Arabidopsis thaliana: one gene and its partner. The protein of the gene in region 1 interacts with the protein of each later gene in a pairwise test. Each region holds a gene or a part of one and is shown in the gene's direction. Other genes may lie near its edges. The genes, in order: HSF1 and LCBK1.

What was found.
Region 2: the proteins of HSF1 (region 1) and LCBK1 interact in a two-hybrid assay, tested with the Arabidopsis thaliana proteins (one study listed by BioGRID).

What each region holds. Positions count from the first base shown.
Region 1 is NC_003075.7:9,869,101-9,873,402, reverse strand, and holds HSF1 (heat shock factor 1), read left to right. Parts: upstream 1-1,756; 5' UTR 1,757-1,799; coding exon 1,800-2,132; intron 2,133-2,279; coding exon 2,280-3,434; 3' UTR 3,435-3,585; downstream 3,586-4,302. Other genes in the region: AT4G17760 (PCNA domain-containing protein), read right to left, coding at 146-374, 500-570, 658-777, 864-984, 1,063-1,217, 1,304-1,393, 1,467-1,583; AT4G17740 (Peptidase S41 family protein), read left to right, coding at 3,684-3,764, 3,866-4,157, 4,254-4,302. UniProt on the Arabidopsis thaliana protein: Transcriptional activator that specifically binds DNA sequence 5'-AGAAnnTTCT-3' known as heat shock promoter elements (HSE).
Region 2 is NC_003076.8:7,903,909-7,911,211, reverse strand, and holds LCBK1 (long-chain base (LCB) kinase 1), read left to right. Parts: upstream 1-1,626; 5' UTR 1,627-1,858; intron 1,859-2,027; 5' UTR 2,028-2,251; coding exon 2,252-2,704; intron 2,705-2,787; coding exon 2,788-3,162; intron 3,163-3,315; coding exon 3,316-3,409; intron 3,410-3,524; coding exon 3,525-3,562; intron 3,563-3,904; coding exon 3,905-3,949; intron 3,950-4,022; coding exon 4,023-4,169; intron 4,170-4,285; coding exon 4,286-4,385; intron 4,386-4,944; coding exon 4,945-5,879; intron 5,880-6,021; coding exon 6,022-6,171; 3' UTR 6,172-6,504; downstream 6,505-7,303. UniProt on the Arabidopsis thaliana protein: Involved in the production of sphingolipid metabolites.

The sequences.
Region 1 (4,302 bases):
TTTAGTGAAACCACACGCAGTTTTTCTTTGCAAGCCTTAAACTTTTTCTTTCTTTCTTTCTGATACTGATACTGATAGTATTGAGAGACTGACTAAAAAGAAGAACTAGAATTACAAAGATAAAGTAACTGAAGGAGAAAATCTATTAATCAGCAGGCTCTTCAGGCTTCACAAAGAACTCTATATAAGCAATCCGACTCGGTGGCTGATACCCTGCGGATTCCACTTGTGGAGCTAAAGCTTTAGAAACTGAAACCAAGTGCTGAACTTTCAACATTCCTCCTCTTCCTATTGTTAGTTTGCTTCCCCTGTTTTCTCTCACTACGTTTCCCGGTATGTTTGCCGTTGTTGCTTTCAAAAACTTGTATTTGTACCTACAATCAACAATGAGAAGTTTAGCAAATGTATCTGGCTACTATTCTTGATTGGTAAATCAAGCGTAGGAGCGTGTGTTTTAACCATAAAGCTACGGTAGAGAAAGAATTGAGTTCATTGTTACCCGTAAGAGACTTCGGTATCACAATGAAAGGCAAGGAGAAGATCTGTGTTGGCATAATACATGAAGTCTATCTGCAAAGAGGATAGATCGAAATATGTTCCTTGATTCTTTCACATTAAGATAATATACATCACCAAGAAACAAGTGAGAAACAAGACCTGCAAGTCTCCATGTCCTTCTCCTCTAAAGATTACACAAGGGGGTTCCTTTTGAAGACTGATCTGTACACTTGAACCAGGCCATTCAAGATCATCTATTGCTTCCTTCAACGCCGCTGACTGATAGATACATTATCAATTACCATTTGAGAAAAAGCTCAGACTAACAATGTTAAACGAAAAACGATACTAAACTATGTTACTACCTTTACTGTAAAAGTAAGTGGCGCGATTCCCGCCTGCTCAAAGTTGTAGTCCCAAGTAACAGTTTCGGGAATTCTAGTTCTTATCTCAGAGTAGATGCAAGAGTTTAAGGTATCAACAGATCTAATCAAACACTCACACCAATCAGCTAATTACTCGTAATCCGTATATTCACAAAGCAAAGGATCATAGTACACATACTTGAGAAGAAGCTCCATATCAGGTCCTGGATACTTGATTTCTATAGTATTAGAATGTCCAGGTGATGAAAATGTGTTCAAGCAATCAACAAGAAGCCCTAAGCTGATTCCGAATCTCGGCCTACCTTGAGCTCCATACTCGTATTTCGTGAATAGCTACTCATATAACACATCAAACAGATTTCGGATTCAATCGAATTTTAGGGGTTTAGAAAATTTAAGATAAACTCAGAAATCGATACCTCGCGTTGAAGATAAACTTTGGCTTGAAGACAACCTGATTCTTCAACAATCAAAACTATTCCGTGTTCAGATAATTCTACTAAAGCATCCTGGAAACGGAGAAGTTTTCAGAAAATCAAAGAAGAACCCTAGATTGAATTTGGGGAGGATGGAGATAAAAACCTGGTGGCGTTTCCATCGGACGCAAGTGAGTGCATCGACCATTCCTTGAACATTATCGAGCTGGCAAATCAGGTCCGGTGTGTCTGGTTCAATCGCCGGCGACGAGGACGAACTCATTTCTCTCTCTCTCTCTCACTCTCCTTCCTCTGCTTTCCCGCCAGAAAATGTATGCCGACAATATAGCAATTAAATTGATTATTATTATATTTGTTTTAGCAGGCCCAGTTATTAATAAAGTTGATCTTTTTGGCCCACACACAAACTAAAAAGAAAAATAAAAGCCCATCTTTATGATATCGCGTTTATATCTGAGTCACAGAGAAATAAAAGGGTATGTTTGTAAATTTCAAATACTTCTCTTTCTTTATCCGTACGAAAATGGACGGTGTTACCGGCGGAGGAACGAATATCGGCGAGGCTGTGACGGCGCCACCACCGCGGAATCCGCATCCAGCGACTTTACTTAATGCGAACTCTTTACCGCCCCCTTTCCTTAGCAAGACGTATGACATGGTGGAAGATCCGGCGACGGACGCGATTGTCTCATGGAGTCCGACGAACAATAGCTTCATTGTTTGGGATCCACCGGAGTTTTCTCGTGATCTTCTACCTAAATACTTCAAACACAACAATTTCTCCAGCTTTGTTCGCCAGTTAAACACCTATGTAAGTATAAATTCTCTCGCGCCCTAATTTCTCCACCATTGATTTCTCTAATTGTACTGTGTATAGATTATGATTTCGTTGAATAATCTTAGTGCTTGATGTGTTTGATAAGATTTATATGATTCATGTGCCAATTTTGATGAACAGGGTTTTAGGAAAGTGGATCCAGATCGATGGGAATTTGCTAATGAAGGTTTCTTAAGAGGTCAAAAACATCTATTGAAGAAGATAAGCCGGAGAAAATCTGTTCAGGGACATGGTAGTAGTAGTAGTAATCCACAATCTCAGCAATTATCTCAGGGTCAAGGTTCAATGGCTGCATTATCTTCATGTGTTGAGGTTGGGAAATTTGGGTTAGAGGAAGAAGTTGAACAGCTTAAAAGAGACAAAAACGTGTTGATGCAGGAACTCGTTAAGTTACGCCAGCAGCAACAAACAACAGATAATAAACTTCAGGTTTTGGTTAAACATCTTCAGGTTATGGAGCAGAGGCAACAACAGATTATGTCTTTCCTTGCTAAAGCTGTACAGAATCCTACTTTCCTCTCTCAGTTTATACAGAAGCAGACTGATAGTAATATGCATGTAACCGAGGCCAATAAGAAGCGGAGACTCAGAGAGGATAGTACTGCTGCTACTGAGAGTAATAGTCATAGCCATAGCTTGGAAGCATCAGATGGACAGATAGTTAAGTATCAGCCACTTAGAAACGATTCAATGATGTGGAACATGATGAAAACAGATGATAAGTATCCGTTTCTTGACGGGTTCTCATCTCCAAACCAGGTATCAGGAGTCACTCTTCAAGAGGTACTACCCATAACTTCAGGACAGTCACAGGCATATGCATCTGTACCATCAGGACAGCCTTTATCATACTTACCCTCTACTTCAACTTCTCTCCCGGATACCATAATGCCAGAGACTTCCCAGATACCACAATTGACACGAGAGAGTATCAACGACTTCCCTACAGAAAACTTCATGGATACAGAGAAGAATGTTCCAGAGGCATTCATCTCTCCAAGCCCATTCCTTGATGGTGGTTCAGTCCCGATTCAGCTTGAGGGAATACCCGAAGACCCCGAGATTGATGAACTAATGAGTAACTTTGAATTCCTTGAAGAATATATGCCAGAAAGCCCAGTTTTTGGAGATGCAACTACACTAGAGAACAACAACAACAACAACAACAACAACAACAACAACAACAACAACAACAACAACAACAACACAAATGGTAGACATATGGATAAGCTTATAGAAGAATTGGGTCTTCTCACATCAGAAACAGAACACTAGTAAAGGATTATGTTTAGTATCCATTGTAAAGTCTTTCTCTACTAACATTATCGTTAGGACTCAGTAGTACGGTTGCAACTTTGTGCAGAAATCTTTCCTTGGATAATAGAAGAGTTGTATTTATTATTAAAAAGAAAATGCCATTTTTTCTAATTTATTGTAGAAAGTGACTACTTTGTCCAATCATATTTGTAGTCCTTTTTCGATAAGAAAAACAGAGTTGGAATTTTCCCGGGGAAGCTCTTTTCAATGGAGGTCCTTGCGAGCTCTTCATTATCCCCAATTTCTTTTACTAAGCCTAACAAAATAAACCCTAATTTCTCAATCCAGGTACTTTTCTTTCGTATAGTTGACTCCTTTTTAAGTTTCTCTCCTGCAATTCCCCAATTTGTGTCCGTTTAGCTGTGTAATAGAATTTTCAACCTTTGCAGGTGAAATTGTGGGTAAAACAACCTCCAAAGATTTCAAAAGCTAGCAAATTTAGTTATGCTCGTAGTCGTAGTAACATTTCAAGGAGCAATGCAGCAAACCCAGGAGTCGTGTTCGTCTGTAATAGATTTCTGTGTGTTATCGAAAGAAATGATCAGAGGAAATTATCTGGGAAGGTTATGATGAAATCTTCTGTTAATTTCAGACAGAATCTCTCTGTTGCATTAGTTCGGATCGTTTCTGTTCTGCTTGTCTCTTCCATTTCTGTTGTTACCACTGATTCACCACCATCATGTAAGTTCTGTTTTTTTTACATGTTGAGAAACCATATAAATTTCGGGGAATGCAATTTGATTTCATTTGTGTGGCTTTTTTTCTCTGTCTCTTTAGGGGGTCTTACTGAAGAGAATCTTCTCTTCCTCGAGGCTTGGAGAACAAT
Region 2 (7,303 bases), on another chromosome or scaffold:
GTGAGATTTATCAATGGGCCAACTCCGTATTGATAAAATGTTTTCATTTATCTACAACTTCTTCTAATTTTGATTATAAGTAAAATTGTCATCGTTTTTCTATGTAAATATTTAAATCCACGTATTTGATGTTCCTTCTTTTCTATATATAATATATAATATAAATAAAATGATTTATTGTTATTTAAAGATTAAAAAATAATTATAGTGTTTGATGTTGTATCTAATTGAAAATAATATCAAATATCTCATTATAAATTTAAACAATTAAATTTTTAAAATATAGATATATATTTGGTTTATGATACTACGAGCGTTAAAAACTCAACTCAACTCATTACCCAATAAGTTTATAGCTAAATGAGTATATGAGTTGACCCAACCAATTTGTTTAAATGGATTAACCTATGCAATTAATAACTGTTTAAATAATTAATAAAAAAACTATTTATAATGATTATATGAACGTAATTTGTATCGATTAACGAGAGTAATGGAATGCAATTAATGCACTGTAACATTTTTAAGTCAATAAAACTTCACATTATTATAACAATTCACGATTACAAGAATGTCTAAAACATAACCAAAGCTATCCACTACCATTTGAAAACATCATTCATATTTTTTTTCCCTAGAAGCTGGATCTCTAAGATCTGATCGAATAACATTCTAGATCAACTTACTATACAAGAAGAATGAACCAAAAGAAGAAAATAAAATTGCAAATCACCAATTGCAAAACGGAAAAGGAATAACAAATGAAACAAAGAACTCGTCTCCAACAAAAACGATAGAAGAAGAATTAACGAAAAAGCTCTGATACCATATTAAACTCCGATGATCGGAGAAGAGATGATAACGAAAACTTAACAAACTTTCATTACACACATAAGTGTTTGTTACAAAGCTTAATTAATCTGATCATGAAAATAAGCTTATATAGTATATACTTCTCTCCCAAGTCATCTACAATTCATAACAAATAAATATATAAAAAATCATTTAACAATAGAAGAAGATGAGACATGAAATCATATCAATGATATTGTATCACACTTTTATCGTCAATCACAAAACCATATAACCAGGAACAAGTACACAATATAGTTTGGACATTGTTAGGAAAACTTTGATTTATGATTTATCGCCTTGTTATATATGAAATTTTTTAAAACATTTCCAGAAAATATATATGTATCAAAATTAGAGTTTATATGATTTATCTTAGATGGATATTATACTTTGATAAATAAAATTTGTTACTTATTAAGTTTTTTGAAATATAAATAACATTTTTACTGAATTTTAATAACATTGTTTTGTTTCATTTTATAATCAAGGAAACAAATTCAAATCTAATTACTAAAAAAATTCTATGAGAATTCAAATTTACCTACTAAATATATAAATATAAAGTTAGGACTAAAAACTTATATTAAAAATGAGGGGTTTTAAAAAAAATATCTTGCGAATAAAGCAATTGCAAGAATAAAATATTTCGAAAAATAAAGTACAAAATAATTTTAAAACATAGCCATTAAAGTAACAAATACTACTATAATATCATAAATAAAATAGATTAAAATTTTGGAAAAAAGAAGTCCAAAAAAAGGTTCTGTAGTGGAAATAAATCCGAAAGGAGGGGGCCATAGGTTTCTGCTGTCGAGTCGAATCCAATCGAAATCGAATCGAAATTGAGTCGAGTCATCATCTCCTCCGCCATTATCGTCTTCTCTCTCTCTCTCTCCGCCACCTCTCTTCAATTCTGACGCTTCTCAGATCCTCCGATCCGGCGGCGTTACTTTTGCTGATACACTTCTCTCCATTTCTTCTTTTTGTTCGCCGAGAAGCTAAGGTAAGACGAATAAATAGCTAAAAGCAAGCTCTGACGACGATTTCGTTTTCAGATTCGTTTATCATTTGCTTCCGATTCCTCATGATCTGTTGTATAGTGTTCTTATTTTGATTGAATTTCCATCAAATGCTGGTTATAAATCGATCCATGGACATGAATTTTGTTACAGGAGAATTCTTCCTGAAAACGCGTTGATGGATCTGATGTATAGCTACGGATTAGAATTGTGTAATTCTCTCTAAAATCTGTTCGTTGACCAGCTCGAACGAGGTTTGATTGGGTTTCTCTGTTTATGCTCATCAGGGGTTTTGTTTTGTGTATGCCTTCCGATCACTGTTTGTCGTCTGTTTCGTCCGCGGAACTCAAGAGCAGAGAGATTGTTAGTGTACGGATATGCAGAAGAGTGGTGTTAATCGGAACCCTTCTTTGAAAGTAGCCATTCCTCAGGCACAACAGTCGCTTAGACGTTTAGGTTTTTGCTCCCAAATAGCTACGGGTGGATCTCAGCAGTCATCTCCTATAGTATTCCCTGAAAAGAGAAATAAGAAGGTGAAGGCATCTTCGAGACGTGGTGAGGTTACTAATGATCCACAGGTGAAACCGAAGCCTGATGAGCATCGGATCGATATTGGTGGAGGGGATGAGAAATCAGATTTGTTAGGTAGTCTTGTTTACGCTGGGAAGCTTGTGTTGGATAAGAGGAAATCTGCGAGTGGAAAAGATGCAACAGAGATACAGCAACCAGCCGCTACGGACATCTCTATTAAGAAAGCAGTTGATGCAAAGCTTACAAGCAGCGCTTTGGTTTGGGGTTCTGACATGCTACAGCTTAACGATGTTGTCTCGGTAGGTTTTTGTTGGCCTTGCAATGAACTAATTAACTCTGTGTTTTGGAGAACTGAGTCAACAAACTTATCTATGTTTTCCAGGTGACATACAATGTTGGTCTTAGGCATTTCACTGTGCATGCTTATCCAATTGGCAAGGGTTCTTGTGGCCTGTCTTGCTTCACGAAACCAAAGAGAAGCCGCAAGGATTTCCGCTTTGTCGCACCTACAGTAGAAGAAGCCGTTCAATGGGTGGCCAGTTTTGGAGATCAACAATGTTTTATCAACTGTTTGCCACATCCTTTAGTCGCAAAGAAACAGGCTTCGTCTGAGTTATTTTCGGTCCCCATTGATACCCCTCCTGAGTTGGTCTTCAGGTGTAAGAGTGCACCCAAAATGCTTGTCATATTGAACCCTAGGTCAGGACATGGACGATCTATCAAAGTTTTCCATAATGTCGTGGAACCAATTTTCAAGGTACCGTTCCCATCTTTTTGTTCTTTTTGGATGTTGTAGTACTACATCATCACATTATTTCCACTTTTAGGTACCCTAGAGAACCATTTCCATTTCTCCAATCCCATTATGCATTTTTTTTAATCTTGTTTATGATTTTGTGAACTGTCACAGCTGGCCGGAATTAAGATGGAGGTTGTCAAAACAACTAAAGCAGGTCATGCGAGAGAATTGGCTTCCACTGTCGACATTAACTTATGCTCTGACGGTACCTCTACTTGTTCCAACACTTAATGATATGTTTAACATATCTAGCTTCTAATATGCATATATTTTATCTTACATATCTACTATTACTTACGAGTTCTTAATAATTCTTCCAGGAATTATTTGTGTTGGAGGGGATGGAATCATCAATGAGGTGTGATAATTACCTTTCCTAAACTATACTCATTTTTTCGCCCTATTTTGGTTAGGAGTTAAGTTCATGAAGTGATGTTCCTTTTATACCATACTCCCGGTTACTTATCTGCTTACAAGCCCTGGTGCCTGAACGTACTTCGGAACCAATTTTGGTATTAAAATGAAACCTTATTGGCTTATTTCAGCGTGCTCACACCACTTTGCAAGCATGTTGAATAATTTAAGAGTTTAGATACTCTAATCCTCCAGAGCGAGGACTTTGGGATGCATCTTATAGGGAAATACTTGCTCGAGTTGAAACACATGAGAACTTTCACTATTGATTTTTCGATTGATGTAGAACTCTTTAGGTAGACTAAGATGGATTCAAAAGACTGCTTTCGATGTTAACATCTCCTAGATTCTATTTACTTGGAATGAACTCTCATCTCAAGGCCTGCCTTATTTCAATGTTTCAGGTTCTTAATGGTCTGCTTACTCGAAGCAATCCGAAAGAAGGAGTTTCTATCCCAATTGGAATAGTACCTGCTGGTTCTGATAACTCGTTAGTTTGGACTGTCCTTGGTGTAAGAGATCCTATTTCTGCAGCACTCTCTATTGTGAAGGTAACCCCGCCTAAAATCCTATTGGTCCCTGCTTTGTTTTATCCAGCCGCCAACATTAATTAGCTTCTACTTAATTAATATTTTCTCAGTGAAAGATTTTTTTTTTTTTGGTTTAGGGTGGCCTAACAGCTACTGATGTCTTTGCTGTTGAATGGATTCATACCGGTATTATACACTTTGGAATGACTGTTTCCTACTATGGTTTTGTTAGCGATGGTAAGTGAGGATACCTGTGTGCTTTGTCTTGTATGATTTTCTAATGATAAACAGTTTCTCAAGTGTAGTTAGGTTTGAATCTGTATTCCTAGCTTCTTTGTTTCATTCACCGTGTCTGCAACTGTTTAGATCTTTCATGCATTTTAGAGGAGAGTTTTTAAATCTTCCTTACTGTAATTTTTCAGTTTATCTTCTAAATATTTTAACTGGCACAGTGTGAACACTATGCTGACTCCCAAGACACATAATTTCATAGAATATTGCAGAATGTGCACTCTTCTGATGATGAGTTAGAAGCAGAAAATCGCCTAGTTATTCAAACGTATCATGGATAAACTCAAATACATTGAACTTGTGCAAAAGGCTGTAAATCTCTCTCCATTTCTTTAACAGCTCCGGTGTGTGTTTGATGTATTAGTTTGAGCTATTGGACGCTGTCTCGTGTTTGACGTCAGGATTATTGCACATATAATTACCTTCATGAATACTGTATAATGTTTGTGGCATTCACCTGCTATAACTAAATTTCATGGTTTTTCTTGTCATTATCTATTTGCAGTTTTGGAGCTCTCTGAAAAATACCAAAAACGGTTTGGTCCTTTGCGTTACTTTGTTGCTGGATTCCTCAAGTTCATGTGTTTGCCGAAGTATAGCTATGAAGTGGAATATCTTCCGGCACAAAAAGAGGATGCAGAAGGCAAAATTCGACTTGAAAAGGAAGCTGTGGATATGCAAGATCTCTACACGGATGTAATGAGGAGATCAAGCAGAGAAGGATTTCCTAGAGCCTCCAGTTTATCAAGTATTGACTCCATAATGACCCCAAGCGTAGGCGAATTAGACACTTGTAGCAGCACACATGCCAGCACTGAGCCGTCTGAATATGTCCGTGGAATAGATCCTAAAATGAAACGCTTGTCCTCTGGAAGAAGAGATGTTACGGCTGAGCCAGAGGTTATTCATCCTCAAGCACAGTCAACAACCCCTAATTGGCCAAGGACAAGATCAAAGTCAAGAATGGATAAAGGATGGATGGGGTTAACATCCGTGCAGGATCCTCCAACTCGATGTTCATGGGGGAATACCGGTGGTCAAGACAGGGAAGATATATCATCTACTGTATCTGATCCAGGTCCAATCTGGGATGCAGGACCCAAATGGGACACTGAACCGTCTGCTTGGGATGTAGAAAATTCGATCGAGCTGCCTGGTCCTCCTGAGGATATAGAGACAGGACTGAGGAAACAGAGCATCACTCCAATATTTGAGGATAAATGGGTTTCGAGAAAGGGACATTTCCTCGGCATCATGGTCTGTAACCATGCTTGTCGGACTGTGCAAAGTTCCCAAGTCGTGGCTCCCAATTCAGAACATGATGATGGTACAATGGATATGCTCTTGGTTCATGGGTGTGGAAGACTGAGGTTACTGAGGTTTTTTATACTTTTGCAAACAGGTCGACACCTTTCTCTTCCGTATGTTGAGTGTGTAAAGGTAAATTATCTTTCCTATTTTCTTACATTACGAAACCTGCAACTCGCTATGTGCTAGGAAATGCTAATCAAACGGTCAAACTCAATGCAAATATTATAAGTCTAGAATAGAATGTAGTTGATCAAATGCATGACAATTGCAGGTGAAATCAGTGAAGATAAAGGCGGGGAAAAATACGCATGACAGTTGCGGGATAGACGGGGAACTGTTTGCATTGCATGGAGAAGTGATATCGACAATGCTACCTGAACAATGCAGACTGATCGGTAACGCTCCTGGACGACATTCATAGTTAATTAATCTCATCTAAATTGTGAGGATGGTGAGAGAGTTTGGATGTTTATATATCTGGAATTCATTTTTATTGTTTTTTGTTTTTTGTCGGCGTCAAGTTTACGGTAAGTACCATCTATGTGATAAGAGAAGCAAACATGAGAGAGTATACCAAGTACATCCTTTTGTGCCATAACTTCCCTATAACTCTAAAACCCTTTGTATATTCTTTTGCCCTTTTTTGTGTGTTTTGAATTATATATGTACTGTGTACGTGTTTTCTACAACGATTTGTGTGTTTCCATTTCTTTGTTTGGATTAGTCGATCAATAACGAAATAGATGATTTGAAGTAACGAGGTTTTTGGACTAGGTTAACTAGGTGAACTTCTAAAGTGATATTATTTGTGGATTAAGAAGATTTTATTCGAAGATATTTAACTGATAGAGATTCTTTCTGTCTGACTCGGAACTTTGAAGCATCAGAGTCTCACAGATGAATATAGTAGAAGCCGCACGTTCCTCATCCCGTGAAAAAGGACACACGTCTGACTTCTTTATATTGCTGGGTCTTCTTCTCCCTTTCCTTTTTACTTCTTAAAGTTTAAACCTTTGTTATTATCCATTTCATTCACATGTTTTTTTTTCTGTCTGCTTATCATTTACACGTTTCTTGATTTGTTTCATTCGAAAAAAAATCATATTAAATTGCATCCATATAAATTTGTAGATGAAGATTTTGACATATTAAAAAAATGTAAATGCATATTTTAGCATCAATTCTTCCAACTAATAATGATAAAAAATTTCCATCGTTTGGAAATAGTAGACACTATCACACTAATGATCCGGTAGTAAACCATGTGCATGAGCCATGAGGTTAATTTGCATTCTTTCATTTGATTTTCACTCCATAATCTTTCGTTTTTATTTGGTCAGTCAAAACTCAAAATAATAACACATCTAATTTTAGTGGCTTATCCGGTGGACTGACCATCTTCAACTATACATTTTGAAAATTATTTGTATTTTAGATCAAAATTATTTATTATTAACAAAAATAAAATAAAATACAACTTATATCCAATGATATATATAAACATATATATCAATGGTCAAAATTTTTATAATTTTTAAAATTGTAAAGCAAAA